Oreochromis niloticus: one gene and its partner. The protein of the gene in region 1 purifies or fractionates together with the protein of each later gene. This does not show direct contact. Links are inferred from orthologs where the notes say so. Each region holds a gene or a part of one and is shown on either strand. Other genes may lie near its edges.

Evidence for each region. The genes of interacting proteins can lie anywhere in the genome.
Region 2: the proteins of slc25a11 (region 1) and lrrk2 purify together in Homo sapiens (co-immunoprecipitation; 3 studies listed by IntAct, with this or other methods). This does not show direct contact. The link is inferred for Oreochromis niloticus from reciprocal best matches to the Homo sapiens genes SLC25A11 and LRRK2.

The regions. Positions count from the first base shown.
Region 1 is NC_031967.2:58,407,093-58,415,585, forward strand, and holds the start of slc25a11 (mitochondrial 2-oxoglutarate/malate carrier protein), read right to left. Parts: upstream 3,440-8,493; 5' UTR 3,248-3,439; coding exon 3,192-3,247; intron 1,304-3,191; exon of another isoform or gene 1,281-1,303; intron 1,186-1,280; coding exon 1,033-1,185; intron 942-1,032; coding exon 824-941; intron 686-823; coding exon 597-685; intron 508-596; coding exon 417-507; intron 1-416. UniProt on the Homo sapiens protein: Catalyzes the transport of 2-oxoglutarate (alpha-oxoglutarate) across the inner mitochondrial membrane in an electroneutral exchange for malate.
Region 2 is NC_031972.2:42,293,178-42,301,105, forward strand, and holds the start of lrrk2 (leucine-rich repeat serine/threonine-protein kinase 2), read right to left. Parts: upstream 3,066-7,928; 5' UTR 2,489-3,065; coding exon 2,353-2,488; intron 1,644-2,352; coding exon 1,558-1,643; intron 1,183-1,557; coding exon 1,073-1,182; intron 1-1,072. Other genes in the region: proton myo-inositol cotransporter, read left to right, coding at 6,787-6,836, 6,916-7,385, 7,588-7,747, 7,926-7,928. UniProt on the Homo sapiens protein: Serine/threonine-protein kinase which phosphorylates a broad range of proteins involved in multiple processes such as neuronal plasticity, innate immunity, autophagy, and vesicle trafficking.

The DNA of each region.
Region 1 (8,493 bases):
GATAAGCTGTGAAAAAGCCAAATTCAAAAATATCAGAGAATCAAAACTGAGGTAATTTTTCTTGTTTTTGCTCAGGATTCGCACCAGTGAGCTTCAATAAAAGCTGCAGCCGTAGCTCACTGTTCCCATTAACTGCTTTCACACATATTAATAACAGTACAACAGCTTGAAAAACTATAAATAGTTAAACAAATAAAAATTAAACAAACAAATAAGAAAAATAAAAAATAACTAATGTAATGTTCGTGTGATGTTAAATCGGGCAGCATCTACTCAGGGTGAAGGACCACTTCAGGACACAAACCTTTTTATCAATTAAAATTTCGACATTAAATTACTGCATCTGGACTAATGGCTACTCATGCAGGCCCAAGTGAAGAAAATGATGGTGATGATGATGATGATGGTAGGCTCACCCTCCACAGTGTAGTGACACCTTCCTCTTTGGTTATTCGAAAGAGGGCATTAAAAACGTTCTTGTATCCTCTCCGCTGGTCTACAGGTAACCTGGAGACACAAACGGTGAGGAAAACGCCTGCGAGTCATTTTGTGTCCATGCCGTGCAGAGAAAGCTGCTCCAAGGTAAACAGTCTCACCGTCCATCGGCCGTCATCCTGATCAGCGCCACCTCTGCTGGCGTCCCCACAAATGCTCCGATGGCTCCAGCTGTCATACCAATCAGAGCCTGTAGGGGGAGCACACTGTTACTCAGCAGCATGGAGGGTGCTATAGCATCTACACCTTTACCACTGATTAAAAGCTTTCTACCAGCTTCTGGTTAGATGATTTCAGAGCTCATAAGCCTTTCACTCTTTCAGCGCACCTTGAGGAAGAAGTTCGGCGGCCGGCCGTCACTGCTGGTCATTTTCTCAAACAGGATGGTGTAGATTCCCAGACGGGTCGTCGTGTAGGTCGCCTGACGCAAAAGACCTGCTGACAGACTGACAAACACACAAAGAAACTCACAGTGAAGCAGGGAGACAAAACGAGAGTTAAAATGATAAAAATCAGGATGGGGTGAAGCGCTGGTACCCGGTGTAGATGCCTCGCACGCCCTCGTTTCTCAGGATGGAGAACAAGGCGTGGAAGCTGGTTTTATACTCTCGAGCCTTCGTCCCCTGACCGCTCAGCTGCATCCTGTTCTTCACCAGGTCCAACGGCTGCACGAAGACGGTCGCGCCCATCCTGCAGAAACAGGACAGATCCGTTTATTAAAGCTGAAGCATTACCGAGAAAACATGAAAGCAAGTACTTTTTGGCACATTCAAAGACAACAAAACCTGGGAGCGCAGACTTGTTTTCACGTATCTGACACTTTATTTTAGATGTCTGAACCGATTTAAATCGTAACTTATAAAATGAGACCTTTGGACTGACTGTTCCAACAACTTCCACTGAAATCCAAACAATGTGATCAAAATAAATCAAAGTTCACTTAAAAAGTTTTTTTTTATTTGAAAAGAACATAAGGGAGGAGTTTTACAGTTAAGGGAGACAGTAAAAACTAAAACATGGTAGCTCGAGTTCAAGCGCAGTTCGAGAACAGAGGTGTTTTCCTCTAATGAATTTACACTCCTGTTAGTAGTGAAGCTGCAGCGATGTGGTAACTCTGCAGTGATAAGTTATCAGGGACTGGAAGAGCTGGTACTGTGGGTTTATCAGGAGGTGAGAGTTTAGCCTCCCTCAGAAAACCCAGACGGCAGCAGGTGAGAGAGCACAGATTAACTCACGATGATGAAAACCTGCCTGGGGCAGCGATTCTTGTCTTTTAAATCAGAACACGTTCATTTATTTTTCTCAAATGAAGCTTCACAGAAGAGCGTGCTGGGATCCTGACGAATGACAAATTACAAACTGTAAAATTAGAGATGGTGCAGACATACCTCTAAATTATCTCTGATTCACACCAAATATGGATTAAAATATAAATTAATATGCAAACCTACAGCTCTAATATTAAGTCATGCCTTTATTTTTAACTTTTATAGTTTCTGAGATATGTATATGAAAAAATGTGTGCAAGTTTGAAATAAAGTCAACTGTTGACACCACCTCACTAAGTTTGTAAGAAGCAGCCATACTGTCAACATTTGGTGACCTTCAACTGTTTATCATGAAGCTGTTTAACCTGCTACGCCTGCTAAAGTAACCTGACACACACACACTTGAAAGCAAACATTCAGTTTAAGAAGATAGAGTTACTGAACAGCCTGGTTCTCCATATTTCCTCTCACACACTCATGTTAACCTTCATGTCAGCATACGTTCACTAATCCCTGTGAGCCAAAAGGTCAAATTGTTCAGTTTATCATTTTTTTTTCTATTTTTGGATCAATATGATGTCAGAGATAGTCACACACCCTGTTGCGTGAGGGGCATCCAATCACTGAGGCGCAGTATGAGATAATTATTGAGATTATAATTTTAATTCATTCATCAAATTATTAATTGGCTTAATTAACCATAACTTTTATGATACATGATTAAATTTGTAAATGTTTTGTGATAAACATGGATCAGAGTCTAACTGAACCTGATTTCAGAGTTTAGAGGACTCTAAACCCGGTTACATCATCTTCATCATCATGGTCATAAAGCTGTCATCCATCCCGGCTACAGTTAGCATGCTAACGGGAACTCGGCCAGGGCTGAGCTCAGACCGGGGAGCCGACGTCAGGTCCCCCTGACTGGTGCGACCTCCCCTCATCTGCTGTCAGAGTTTACTTTAGGGAAGCTTCGCTGCTAATCCAGCGTTAGCCTGCTAGCACTCCTCGGTGTAGAGCCCAGGCGGGACGCTTTAACAAATAATTTCCCGGGGATACAAGCGGAACATTTTCAGGACTTTTACGAGTTTACATGTTTAAACGTGTTCTGGTGAGAAAAAAGAGACAGGAAGCTCTACTCGAACACGGCTGGCTAACACATGTAGAGAGGTGCCCAGATTTCGTCATGACACCGGTGTGCTGATGAAAACCGTCCCCGCTGAGTTATCGGGGTGCAGCCCGTCCTGTGACAGCCAGCATCAGCTGCTAACAGCTAACCATCAGCGTGTCGCTCCGCCGAGGTAACGGCCTCCGTGCTGTCCTTTAAACCGCATAGAGGTTTGACACAGAGCGGGTTTAAACTGACCAGAGCTCTCCTCTGACCCCTGACATTAGCGCGATAGCATGGCAGCTAGCCGCATCACCTACCCAGCCAGCCCCCGAACAGGAACTTGATGGCCTTCGGGAGGTCTTGGGCTTCGCATCCGCCATGTTTCCCCCGATCGGTCAGTGGCCGCAGAGTCTGCGTTCAGATTTCTGCCGCCCGCCTGCCTGTGTGCCTTTGGGCCGAGCTTTCCGCCTGCTTTCTCCCTGTCTCAGCGGCGGCAGCAAGAGCAGCAAGGTGACTCTATAAAGCGGACGCGTCCCGAGACACGAAGAGCAACGGACCAATCAGGAGACGAGGAACGATCAACGTGCGACGTTCAAGGTCTCATTCTAAACTCCTCCATCCGAACTCTATCAACTAATACAGCGAAGTTAATGACGTACAGCGCATATCCGATATTTAGAAGGCTGTAGTCTTTAGCTTACTGATGTTATATAAATAAGTAAAATGTTATTTTAAAATGACATGCAATAAATTACACACGTGAAGTTGATTATGAATTCATCATCATTTGACCAAAAACATGTTTATACAGACTGATACTTGAAACGATGACGAGCCTTTTGATAAAGACAAAAATGAAATTAAACATTGATTTGCTTCTGCGATAGGCCTACTCAACTAAAAATTCGTGCATGGCATTCTTATGTCTTTCATTTCCGAGAGTTCTTGAATGCAGCAGATGCTGGTTATTTAATCAAGTATATGTATAAATATGTAGAAAACATACATTTAAAAGTGTATAACTGGTAGGACGTTATATAAATGTTTAATTTTTAAATTAGGAAACTAAAAGCCGCAATTATTTGTTAAATAATTTATTGCTTATAATGTTGTACCATTGTGACGAGATGAGATGGCTTTTATTTGTCAGTTGCAGTTGCCCACAACCGAGATGAGAGACCTTGCCGACCGTACAGGTCAGGCTAGGTAGCAAAGGAAAAAAAACTGTGAAATGTGTAACACAAAAGGATAATCCAGAAAGATAAGGAGAGGGTGAAAGATGCGTCCGCCTCCTCCGAGAGCCACAGAAAGAAAACATTTTCTTGTAGCATGGTTGAAACATTGTAGCAACCATTGTTGTACCATTCTCTTGAATATTATGGCTTTAATACATCCAAACTGATTTCTTGTTTAGTTTCAGAATTAAAAATGAATTACAACTGTTGCCACCATCATTTCAGCGTAAACACAGCGTCAAACTAAGGAGTCTGATGTGACACACAAAACAACAGAAGGCTGGGATTCTTTCCGAACGCTCATTGGTTTAGAGCTAGAGAGGGGGAGGGATTTATCACAAGCAACAGCTTGCTGAGGAAGTAGATCCGGGGGCAGCGGTGAGTAGAAACACTGAGCGGTGTTATTTCTGTTTTGTTTTTGTTTTTTACCGGATTAAACTCCCATAAAACGCCTCGGTGTGACCGTCCGACAGCCGGAGATCATACCGCGGAGCTGGCGACAGTTTCTGCTGCGTCACATTACCGGTGTTTTGGCGGGTCGGAGTGATTGGGCAGCTAGCGTTAGCAAACAGCAGGAAGCTCACTAACAGAAAGTCTGTTAGTGAAGTTTTTCGGAGTTTTTTACACAGAGATCCAGAAATAAACAATTTATACTACAGGCTGGCTGCGGAGGGATACACAGGAGCTGAGGTACTTATTTATGAGGCGTTACCTGTGTTTGTTCTCCACTGTTTACATGCTGGGTCCTGTTTGTTTAGGGAAGGAAACGAGGAGCTAGAGAAGTAAACACGGAAACAGAAAAGGAAGGGAAGAAGCACAGAAGGATAAGAGGAGGTAGAGAAGTAAACAAACAAACAGAAGGAAGGAAAGACGTACAGAAGGCAGCAAGGTATCAGGTAAGAATCATGGTGGCAGAGAAAAGGCAGGAAAGAGGGATATGAGGAAGGAAAGTAAATAAAGGGGGAAGGGTTGAAATGAGGACACAGAAAGGACGAGAAGGAGGGGGAAAGAAGTAAGGAGAGGTAACAAGGAGGCATTGTGCAAAATAAGGAGCAGAGGAGGATCCAAGGAGCCACAGCCTAGGAAAGAGAAACTTTTTTCTCCTCGTTAAATGATTTTTTTTTCTCACTGTTTTGGTAGGCGGTGTTACCTCTAGGTATCCAATGACAGCTCTCCGATCATGTCCGCGGGCGGGGCTCCACACAGAGCGGACTAATGAGGAGGAGGCAGAGCCATGACGGGCGAGGAGACGAGGGGGGGTCGGCAGTGGCGGGGGAGCAGAGCGTGGCGGCGGGGGGCATGCCGCGGCTTGCCGTCTTCCTGTTCCCCTCGGAGATGGTGTTCTACGCCGAGCAGAGGAGCTCCCATAGGAGGGTGCTGACCCTTTACAACCCTACAGCTTCAGCCTCAGCTTCAAGAGTGAGTGCAGCCATGTTTAGGCCCCTGGTCACGCCGCCGCTGCCTCTAACAGCCTCTCTCTCTGTCCTCACAGTGTGGTGCACAGCGCCCTCGTTCTACAGGGTGGTGGAGGCAGAGGGCAGCATCCGGGCCAAGTCCTGCGTCGACCTGTGAGTGTTTCAAACTTTATTTAAAACTTATTCCATAACGAGGCTCTCATGCAATCAAGCATTTCATTTTCCTGTCAGGGTCGTGCGTCACCTGGACGTCTCCCCCAGAAACTGTGGCCGCAGGGACCGGTTCCGCATGGAGGTTAGGGGCGGAGGCCAGGTGGGACGACGGGAGATCTGGGCGGAGCTTAGAGGAGGACGAGAGGAAGAGGAGCAAAGAGGAGGTCAACAAAGGGCGCCGCCCCGTCCTACTTCTCAGCTTCTGCCCGCACAGGCACACCTGCCTGCCTGCACAGGTAAGGCACCATGGAGTGCTCTGATTGGTTCCTGTAGCAGTGCATTCGCGGGTGCAGAGTTGATCTTACTGATGATGTGTCTGTGTGTGTGTCTGCAGCTGTGCGCAGCGCGTCTCAGTGGGCGGTGTGTGTGGCTGTGGCGGTGCTGTGTGTCACAGTGTTGATGCTCCCCCTGCACACTGACAGCAACTCGCTGGTTCCACACTGGCTGCAAGTCTCCACCAATCAGAAGCTGGTCTGCGCCTACACACTGGGTAACACCACGCGCACACACACACACACACATACATACACACACACACGTCTGTATGACCTGAGAGAGAGGGGAGACAGGAAGGAAATGCGACAGTGGAAAAGTAAGCAAAAAGAAGGTAAAGAATTGAAATAGATAGAGAAGGAAACAAGGAAGTAGAGAAGAACAGTTATAGGTGAAGAAAGGAGAAATGAAGGGACAGTTAAGGAAATGAGAAGTCAGAGCAGAAAGGAAGGAGTCTCGGAAGGAAATGTGGTGATAAAGACGCAAACAGGAAACTAGAAAAGGAAATAAGGAAGCGGAAAAGAAACTAGATCTAGAGAAGGAATTAGGAGAGAAGGGCAGGAATGAAAAGGAAACAAGAATGTAGTTGGAGGGAAAGCTAAGGAGGTAGAAAAGGAAATGAGATGGGGGATAAGGGAACGAGAAGTTGAAGATTCAGAAGTACACAAAAACATACAAAGACGGAGGCAGAAAAGGAAATGAGGAGGTAGAGAAGGAAGCAGTGATACTGTGGTTGTCTCGCAGGTCTTGTTACCATGGTGTTTCTACGGTGACGTCATGCTGCAGCGACCTGTGGCCTCACCGTCGTCCACACAGGAGGACCCCTCAGACGATTGTCACGGGACAGCGAGTAGCGTGTTCAAAAAAGCTTTATTTAAACGTGTCGACAGAGTAGACAGAGTCATCGACCACAGACGAACAGTTGGATACGAGCGCCGTGAGAAGAAATGGATGTTAAACCGACGAACATGTGACTAAGCTGTGATGCTGCGTAAATAAAATGATTGTAAATAAAAACAGAAATTGATGATTTTAAGAGGATTCAAGTCTTTATTTAAGTGTAAACAGAACAACACAACATCATCTTTGACCAGAGTGTACTCACACGTTTAAATAAAGTTTTTACAGAAGCTCAGTGCATCTCATCATATCCAGGGTAAATAAATAAGTAAAATAAAACAAAGCAGATAAACTCTGTAATCAGATGTGCGTGTCTGAGCTTCAGCTTCTTTGAAGTTTTACTGCTGATGGTAAAATGTTCACAGAGGTTCAGCTTTTCTGTGAGCGTGATGCGTCGTTATCCATCAGAACTACAGAGCTGACCTTCCAGTCTCTGATAAAAACCTCATCTAATCAAGTAATGCATGAATAAGTAAATGATGGAAAAGTTCCAGTTTCTTCTTCACTGCCACGAATAAAAACCTGTTCTTTAAAAGAATTCCCTGCATCTTTCTGCATGATCATCAGTGCTGATCGTTCTCGATGTTCCTCTGGGATCGCTGATCAGTTTCAGACCTGAAGCAAAGTGAGCAACAGATTTCCCATTCATGAGCTTGAACCCTGAATGCAGTGATGAACACACGATGGCTCTGAAGGACAGGTTTCCCCTGAAGTCTGACATTTCATATTATTGTTAAACTTTGTTATTATTCTCACAAACAAGGAGCCGTTCTGACAGGTTAAAAATGTTTAAAAGAATAAACGTAGAAAAGAAAAACAATGAATTAATAAAAATCGATTATAATCTGTGTCACAGATGAGGCTCACTCCAGATTAACGTAAAGAAACAAACTCTCAGATTTATTTTCACCTCATTTAGAAGGTGATTTACACCTGCTGAGTGAAGCACACGAGGAGGAAGAAGGAAATAAGGAAGGAAGGAAATAAGGAGGTAGCAAATGAGGGGACAGAGAAGGAAATAAAGAGGAAAGAAGAGGAAAGGAAGGAAATGAGCCCAGAATGAGATTCCAACACTTTACCAGCGGAGATGTGTGTCAATAAAGAAATACACAAGGGGCCTGTCTCAATATGCGTACTTGTGCGTACTTGCATTCTCGTGTACTCGTGATCAGTACAAAACCCAAACGCGGCAATGGCGGAGGAGCGCGGCTAAAAACTTTTAAATATTACTCTTTCTGGGTCACAAAATAAACGTTTAAGTTATTTTGAAGTGAGAATGTAGCTGTGTACGCTTCAAATATCTGCTCGATTAATCAAGATATCACAAATTTCCAAACAAAATCGGTTTGGCTGAGATATATTTCAATTCAGGAGGAAACATTTTCACTGGGAACAAAAACAGCATGTTAATACTAGATTCTGAAGGCTGCTTCAAAATGATCAGATTATAATTTAAATATTTGTTCAGTTCTCTTCCAAACCCCAGCAGCTGTCTGTTGTAATTATTTTAGTGTCCACTAAAATAAAAATAACACGTCGTAACATCTCACCTGTTTGTTTTTATTAAGGCATACATGTACATA
Region 2 (7,928 bases), on another chromosome or scaffold:
ACTTCACCCTAAATACTAACTTGATTATTTAATCCCGACAACAACTTCAAATGAAATTACACTCACAGGCCGTTAGTCCCCTTTTTGCCTTGAGATTTACCATGACTCGAATCTCCTATTCCACCACATCCCAGAGGAGTCCTACCAGGCTGAGAACTGGTGACTGTGGAGGTCATTTAAAGTTCAGCATAGGCATTGTTGTGTTCAAGAAACCAGATTGGGATGATTTGAGCTTATACATGGTGCACAGTTGTGTTAAAGATGATGGGCACACTGGTCATAAAAGGATGAACATGATCAGCAACCATACTCGGTTACGCTGTGGCATTACAACCATTTCGCCACTACCAGCCTGAACAGTTGCTACAAGGCAGGATGGATCCATGCATTCATGCAGTTTATCCCAAACTCTGACCCTCACATTTGAACGTCGCAGCAGAAATCAAGCCACATCACAGCAGGTAACGTTTTTCCAGTTTTCTGTCGTCCAATTTTGACAAGATTGTTTTAACTGTAGCATTAGTTTCCTGTTCTTGGTTGACAGGAGTGACACCCAGTGCAGTCTGCTGCCCCTGTAGCTGTTTCAGCGTTCAACATGTTGTGCATCTCTGCTGTGCATCTCAGAAGAACATTCAGAGATGCTCTACTGCATAACTTGATAGTGCCAAGTTGTTTTTGGAGTTACTGTTTGCCTTACTATAAAGTCTGACTACTGTCATCTGACCTTTGGTATAAACAAGGGGTTTTTGCCCAGAGAACTGCCGTTCACTGGACATTTTTTCTTTGAACCACTCCCTGTAAACCCTAGAGATTGTTCTGTGGGAAAAACCCAGCAGTTTATGAATTACTCAGCCCAGCCCATCTGGAACCAACAGCAACAACATGCAACATTCAAAGTCACTCCAATCACCTTTCCTTCCAATTTTAATGCTTGATTTGAACTTGAGCAGGTTGTCTTGACCACGGCTACATACTTCATGTACCTTCGTGTGGCATGAGCCATCATGATAGTCATTCATTTAAATGAGTGGTGCTGCATCAAGCCCACAGCTGCCAGAGAGTCTTCACTTACTGGTGCACTCCCTCTACCTCCCACTCTTGGGCTTCATCCAAAGGTCTGGTTAACTGGTCCAGTGTAGTGGGGCATATTTCAATCAGCTGACACAGCAATGACCAGCCAACCTGTAAAAAGGAAGAACAAACAATTTATTAAAATGACGGGAATGAGTCATTATAATAAACCAATGAAAAGTAATGATTCTGATCTCAAGCATACACATTACAGTACTGAGAAAGAGCGCCACAACCTGCTGCCATATATGAATCTTACAATCTCACTTTCAGTTTGCTTCAATATGCAGTCTTACCTCTGATAATTAGCATTACACGTCAGTCACAAGACATGCTAGATGTATAGGTGCGTCAGTCCACAGATGATTTGTCAACAACAAAGAGCTGAGGCTGTTTTAGCGAGTGATGCTGCTGAACACACCTCACCTCACCCAGATAGCACCACCTGCCATAATAATGGCTAATTCTTGTTGTGTCATTCATTACCTGCTGGACTCCTCTGCTGCTGATGTGGGTAGACAGAACCAGCACGAGGGGCACGTGGACATCTTTGTCTTCAAACAGTTCAGCTGCTACAACATGGAACAAGAGATAAGAAGACACGATGAGTCCCATTAGTTTTGAATAGAGTGACTGGGTCTTTTACCCTCATTCCTATTTTTAAATGTGCATAACAAGGCAGCATTACAGCAGGGCTTCATTGTGCAGGTACAAGTCTGTGCTTAAAATCTACAAATCTAAGTCAATCCCATTTTAAATTTGATTTCAGGTAACTTGAATGTGTTTTCACACCTAGTTTTAAGTAAACTATAATGGCCTTAGTATGACCCCAAAGACATTATGTTTTGTATTTAAGATAAGATATGCTTTATTTATCGCCAAAACTGGGAAATTACTCAAAACAGCTAAATCATTAACCTGCTGTATAACAAACCTTAAAGTAGACCATATGAACAAATAAATACAGCATCAATAGACTAGAAGATGGAAGGATGGAAGGGAAAAAATGCACAAAAGGATCAGAGTTAAAAAACAAACAAACAAACAAAAACCAAGAAGAGTGAATTACATTGTGGGCTGAAATAAATAAAACCATAAAAACGATCATGCAAAAGTAGTGAGTGTCATATCACATTTCACACTGGGCAAATACTACTTGATTGAATAAAAAAACTTTAATCTGACCTAATTCTCATAAGGCAATGAAAAAATGCCAAAAGGAAATGATGGCTGTTTATGAGCAGCGTGATGATGCACACGCTGAAACAATGTGCTTCCTACCATAGTCGGTGTGCGCCAGGAAAAGCAGATCCTGGATGATTTGAATCAGCGTGCACAGTTGCCTGTCTTCCTGGGGAGTTTTCAGCCTCACCAAAAGTTTTTTCAGCCTTTCTTCCAGCTCCTCTTTGTTAACCATGGTCTTTAAAGTGCGGTGTTCCAGCTGACGACTTGACGTGCATTGAGGTCAATCACTGCGCTCTCTCAGAACCGACAACGGCCTTCGAGCGGCCACACTGAGCGCAGCATTAGCGTATAAATAACTCACTGAAAATCCACTGTAGTTACTCATGTCTTTACAAAACATTACTGAATTGCTGTGTTGCATAATAATACAGTAGCTACAGACAGCTATAAGTGGCTGTCGCTACAAGGGAAGCGGTCAGTGTCGCGGAGTTTCGGTTCCGACATCACAGTCCTCGGCTAACTTTCCTGTGGCAGAGAATAAGTTCCTCTTTGCGGAGTCGGTGATTTTATGTTGCTTGGATGTGAAAACGAAGCGAGTCCTCTCTGAAAGGCGTGTTCCTGCTTTCCTACGATCGCATCATATGACTGCAGGCAGTAAAAACTCCCCGCTTACAGAAGAGGAAGCTGAAAATAGAGTCAGAGAGAATCCGACTTTCTCTCTGGCAGGGGAAGCAAGTCAGACAGAGAGCCAAGTCAAGCGGCTATTACGTTACCCCCCAACGGTTTTTTTGTTGTTTGTTTTTTTGTTTTTTACTTCAGGCTACACTTTTACAGGCTAACGAGTGGCTTCAGTGAGCCCTCCCACTCTGCGTCTAATGCCAGTTGCTGATTTACAGATTTACAACAATGCAGCTTGACCTGGCACTGACATTTGCTGTGTATGATGGAGGAAAATTCCCACACTAAAGCAAACTCTAAAATATTTTTTAATTATTTCAGTTAGTCTCTAAATTAGGTGTCCTCCCAAAGTAATCACCCCTGTATAGTAGGGGTGAGCGGATCGATACCAAAGCTTGTATTGGTATTGAATCGATAATAGGTAATATGATCGATACTTTGTTTTTTTTAATGCTGTGTTCCTGAATAAGTCGGAAGTTCCGAATTCCCGGTGAGAAATATTTTGTGGAATGCCCCCTCAACTCAAAAATCCCACCACACCAGCAGCTCCACATAGAATTAACATAACTAGGTGGCATCACTGAATGTAAACAACAGTAAAACTGTATACTTTTAATCTGTACTGCCACTGTTGTCTAGTTGTGACACAATAAAGTCATAGTGGAGAAATTCCTACATGCATCGCTGTTTGCAGTGTTTTCATTTACAGCTATAAATATCTCGACACCAGGTGCACCTAAGTCATGTGACTCCACAGCAACAAACCACAGGGAGGAGGTGAGGGTGGAGCAAAGTGTGGCTGCCTGAAAGGACCGGTGTTTGCACAGACGTTAATACTTTTTCATGAAGCAGGAGCAATATCAATGCTGGGATCAGTACTTTCAATATTTGCATCAATGCACCCATCCCCACTTGTTAGAGTTACACTGTATTGCTGTTTTTTTGCAATATGATTTGGCTTCCAAAGTAAAAGCTTTTTCAGTGTTGCTTTGTACCTAATGTGGAAAATTGGAAACAATTTGGTCAGAATATGTTAGCATCCGCTTGGCTTGCTGCCTATAAGTTGGAGTTTTTCCTGGTGGATGAGAGGGTTTGTTCCCTGGACCTTTGAGTTGGAGAATGGGTCCTGGCTGTCGTCTGCGCCCGTGCACCAAACGAAGGTTCAGAGTACCCGGCCTTCTTGGAGTCCCTAGGTGGTGTGCCTGGGGGTGCTCCACCTGGGGACTCTGTCGTCTTACTGGGAGACTTCAACGCTCATGTGGGCAACAACAGTGAGACCCGGAGGCGCGTGATTGGGAGGAACGGCCTGCCAGATGTGAACCAGAGTGATGTTCTATTACTAGACTTCTGTGCAAACCAGAAATTGTCGATAACAAAGACCATGTTCAAACATAAGGGTGTCTATAATTGCACATGGCAATAAGAGACCCTAGGCTGCAGGTTGATGATCAATTTTGTAATTGTATCATCAGACCTGTGGCCCTATGTTCTGGACACTTGTGTGAAGGGTGGACCTTTTTCTCCCACAGAGAGGAAAGTAAATGAGTGTGAGGCTAAAACAAGAAATCATTGACAAAACTATGTTGTTTAAGTTATATAACACAAGTACAAACTATGTTATAGTCTAGGTACGTCCAGTATCCCTGGAAGCTGTGGTTCAGGTCCAGCTGTTCCCTGGCAAGGAGAGCACCATCTGATTTGAGGATTGGATGAGAGTCGGTGAGCACAGAATATCAGCTTGACATCGTGGTCATATCTTATTTTTCCTGTATTTAGCATTGGGTACAACCCCACGGCTCATTTTTAAAAATGTCTGCAGATAAAAGAAACGTCATCGATCACAGGAGGAAGACTGAAAGTTAGACTGTACTTTTTCTTGTAATTTTAGTGTAGGGGATGAACCAGTGATATGCCTAAATATCTTCACTTTTCAGCAGTTTTTTTTTTTTATCATTCAAAACTATTCTGAAAGACTACTTAAATAAAGAAAGAAGGAAGAGAAACTTCTAAATCTATTTCTAATCCTCATGCATCCATTGTTGGCACCTTCGTCGGTACTCATGACTTCACTTTTCCCAGAAATCTTTTACCTCCACCTTAATTATGCCCCCCCCCCCCAAGATTCAAACTGTAATTGTGCGACTGATATCACCAGAGTTGTCTCTGGTTTACTTGCCCCCCCCCCCAAAAGAAAACAAACAAACAAAAAAAACAAAAAACATTTGTATTCCCACACCTTTCTATCAGAACATGCATGAATTGTTGAATCGGACCACACAGACCATTCTTTGCTCCCCATGTGTAGGCTATCAGTGAGCCTTGAGGGCTCATGACCTTGTTGCTGATTTAACACTGCTCCTAAACAGTTTAGTATTGGAGATGCTCTGACTCAGTTGTTTAGCCTTCACAAATATATCCCACCCACTAACACATAATCAGTGTTATTCACGTGACCACTGGGCATTCATGTTATGCTATTGTTGATGTATGTTATATTTTTTGTATTCGGTCACTTGTTGTTTAGAGATTGTAGTCCTGAAATTTTATTGTAGGACTCAAGACTGCTTAGTGTGTTTTAAAGTATACATTAGACCACGATTTGGATGGGTTTTGCTTTTTGCACAATTTATATGTAGGAAAGCCCGGTGGAAAACGTGTCTTTATCTGTCAAGTGTCTGTTTGTTCTCTAAAGTAATAGTTAATATTTACCTCCGCGAAACGTATCCATCTAAATCTGCCCAAACTTACTAATAGCGCATAATAAAGTGCTCACAGTTAAAATCTTTGCCATGTTTTGTGGCCAGTGCAAATTCTTGCTGTCTTGGCTCATTAATCACGACTACCATAAAAAGAACCAGTTGGGCTACATTTTACAGTTCAAATGGGCGTGTTTACGTTTTTTTTTTCAGGGATAATATCATATGATCCACATAACAGACTTCCTGTTTGTTGAAGAGCATATCGACAGCAGCACTGTGCGCTGGAGGAAAGCAGCTTTTTTACAGGTATGGTAGAGTTTTTTCACAGATAGTTAAGGTGACCTGACAGGCTAAAGTCCAATAATGCGACTTATTTGACTTTACTGCAAACAGATAACTTATGGGGACGAGGGGCATAAGGGTCACTTACCATTCCGTACTTTTAGCATTATACGAATAAATGAAGTAGAAGTTACATTCGGAAATACACATGAAAGTAATGAAAAATAGATGAATGAAAAATATATACATGGGGAAAAAAGTAATCTGAATGAAAATTGTTCGCTCACATCTCTGCCGAATTTTCGAGTAGACAATACATGTGCTGTCAACTCTGGTTTTACGTGCACAACAGTCTCCGCTGAGCACAAATTCGTTAAAAATGACATTTTGGATGGAGTTTGGCACGGTGCTGTAGGGACATTGTAAACACTCAGTTTGAAAAAAAGAAACAACATTGTTTTTGTAGCCGGGTGGGCACGTGACCTCACGCACAAACATGGCTGCACGCAGAGCAAAGCAGTAGCGCTGTCAGTGGTGAACAAAAACATCTAAAGTCTGTTTAAAGTCATCAACCTACACTGTTTAGGCAGCTTTCCCACGGCGCGACTCCGAAATCTGCGACACAAGCAGAATCTGGCGCTCGGTTAACCACAGGAGTTTGTCACGAAATGTTGTCGTCATCAAAGTTAGCTAGTATAGCTGCTAAAATCACGACGTGTTGCTTTCTCGAGCTGGACACCTAAAAACACCCCCAGGTTTGGACTTTAACTTAGAGGTTAACGGAAAGTGTGGCACTGAAAATATTGCTATTTTTTTGTTGGGGGGAAAACGACAACAACAACAAAATGATTATTTTTTGTAATCTGTATTAATGGGAAATGACTGCATCCATGTACACGTCACCGCCACTTCCTCACAGAAGTATGTCACCTGGCTTATTTAATAAAGTGGTGACCTGCAACCCCTGGTGAGCTTAACCTCTGGTTTCTCCTATGTCCAGCAGCTATGATGAGTACAGCTTGGAGCACATGAGCAACCTTATGGCCAGCAGGAGACAGAAAGCCGGGGACGATGGAGAGCGGAGTCTCATAGGACCTCCATCTAGGCATGTGGATGAGAATCTCCTAGACCAGGATGCCCCCAAGCCGCTTTTTGTCTATTTGTTGGCATTTTTCTCTGCCTTGGGGGGATTCCTCTTTGGGTATGACACTGGAGTGGTTTCTGGAGCCATGATTCTCCTAAAGAAGGAAATGAACCTGAATGCTCTGTGGCAGGAGCTGCTGGTTTCCAGTACTGTGGGAGCTGCAGCGCTTTCTGCCCTGAGTGGAGGCTACCTGAACGGGTGGCTGGGGCGCAGGATCTGTATCCTTGTGGCCAGCTTTATCTTCACTGTCGGTGGCATCATCTTGAGTCTTGCCCCAGACAAGGTGGTCCTCCTTGTTGGCAGAATTACAGTTGGTTTGGGCATAGGTGAGTTGTTTTATTTAACACTACAGCTTGTATCGAGGTAAAGTCACCATTATGATTTTGCTTCTTATAAGGAGCCCTTTGTTTGACTTTCATTATTCAATATTTGCCGTATTCAAACACAGAGCTAGGATGTAATATGAATTGTCTGTGGGAATGCATCTGTTGTACATTAGCATGAAACTGTTCCCCTCCTTGCCTTTAGGCATTGCTTCCATGACTGTTCCTGTGTACATCGCAGAAGTTTCCCCTCCTCACCTGCGAGGTCAGCTGGTCACCATCAATTCCCTCTTTATCACTGGTGGCCAGTTCATTGCCAGTGTGGTTGATGGGGCTTTCAGCTACCTGAGACAAGACGGCTGGAGGTACGCAGCATCGCTGCTCTCTCACCTGTGCTAAGGGCTTTACATGACAGGGGTTTAGTTTTGTTTGGTTAAATTTGATTTATCCCTTTTTTACCATTATGTGGATCTTTGCCGTGAATGCCAATAAGGGCACCAGAGTTTTCAGATTCCAAGAGGTTGTGTCTTCTCCATGCTTTAGGTA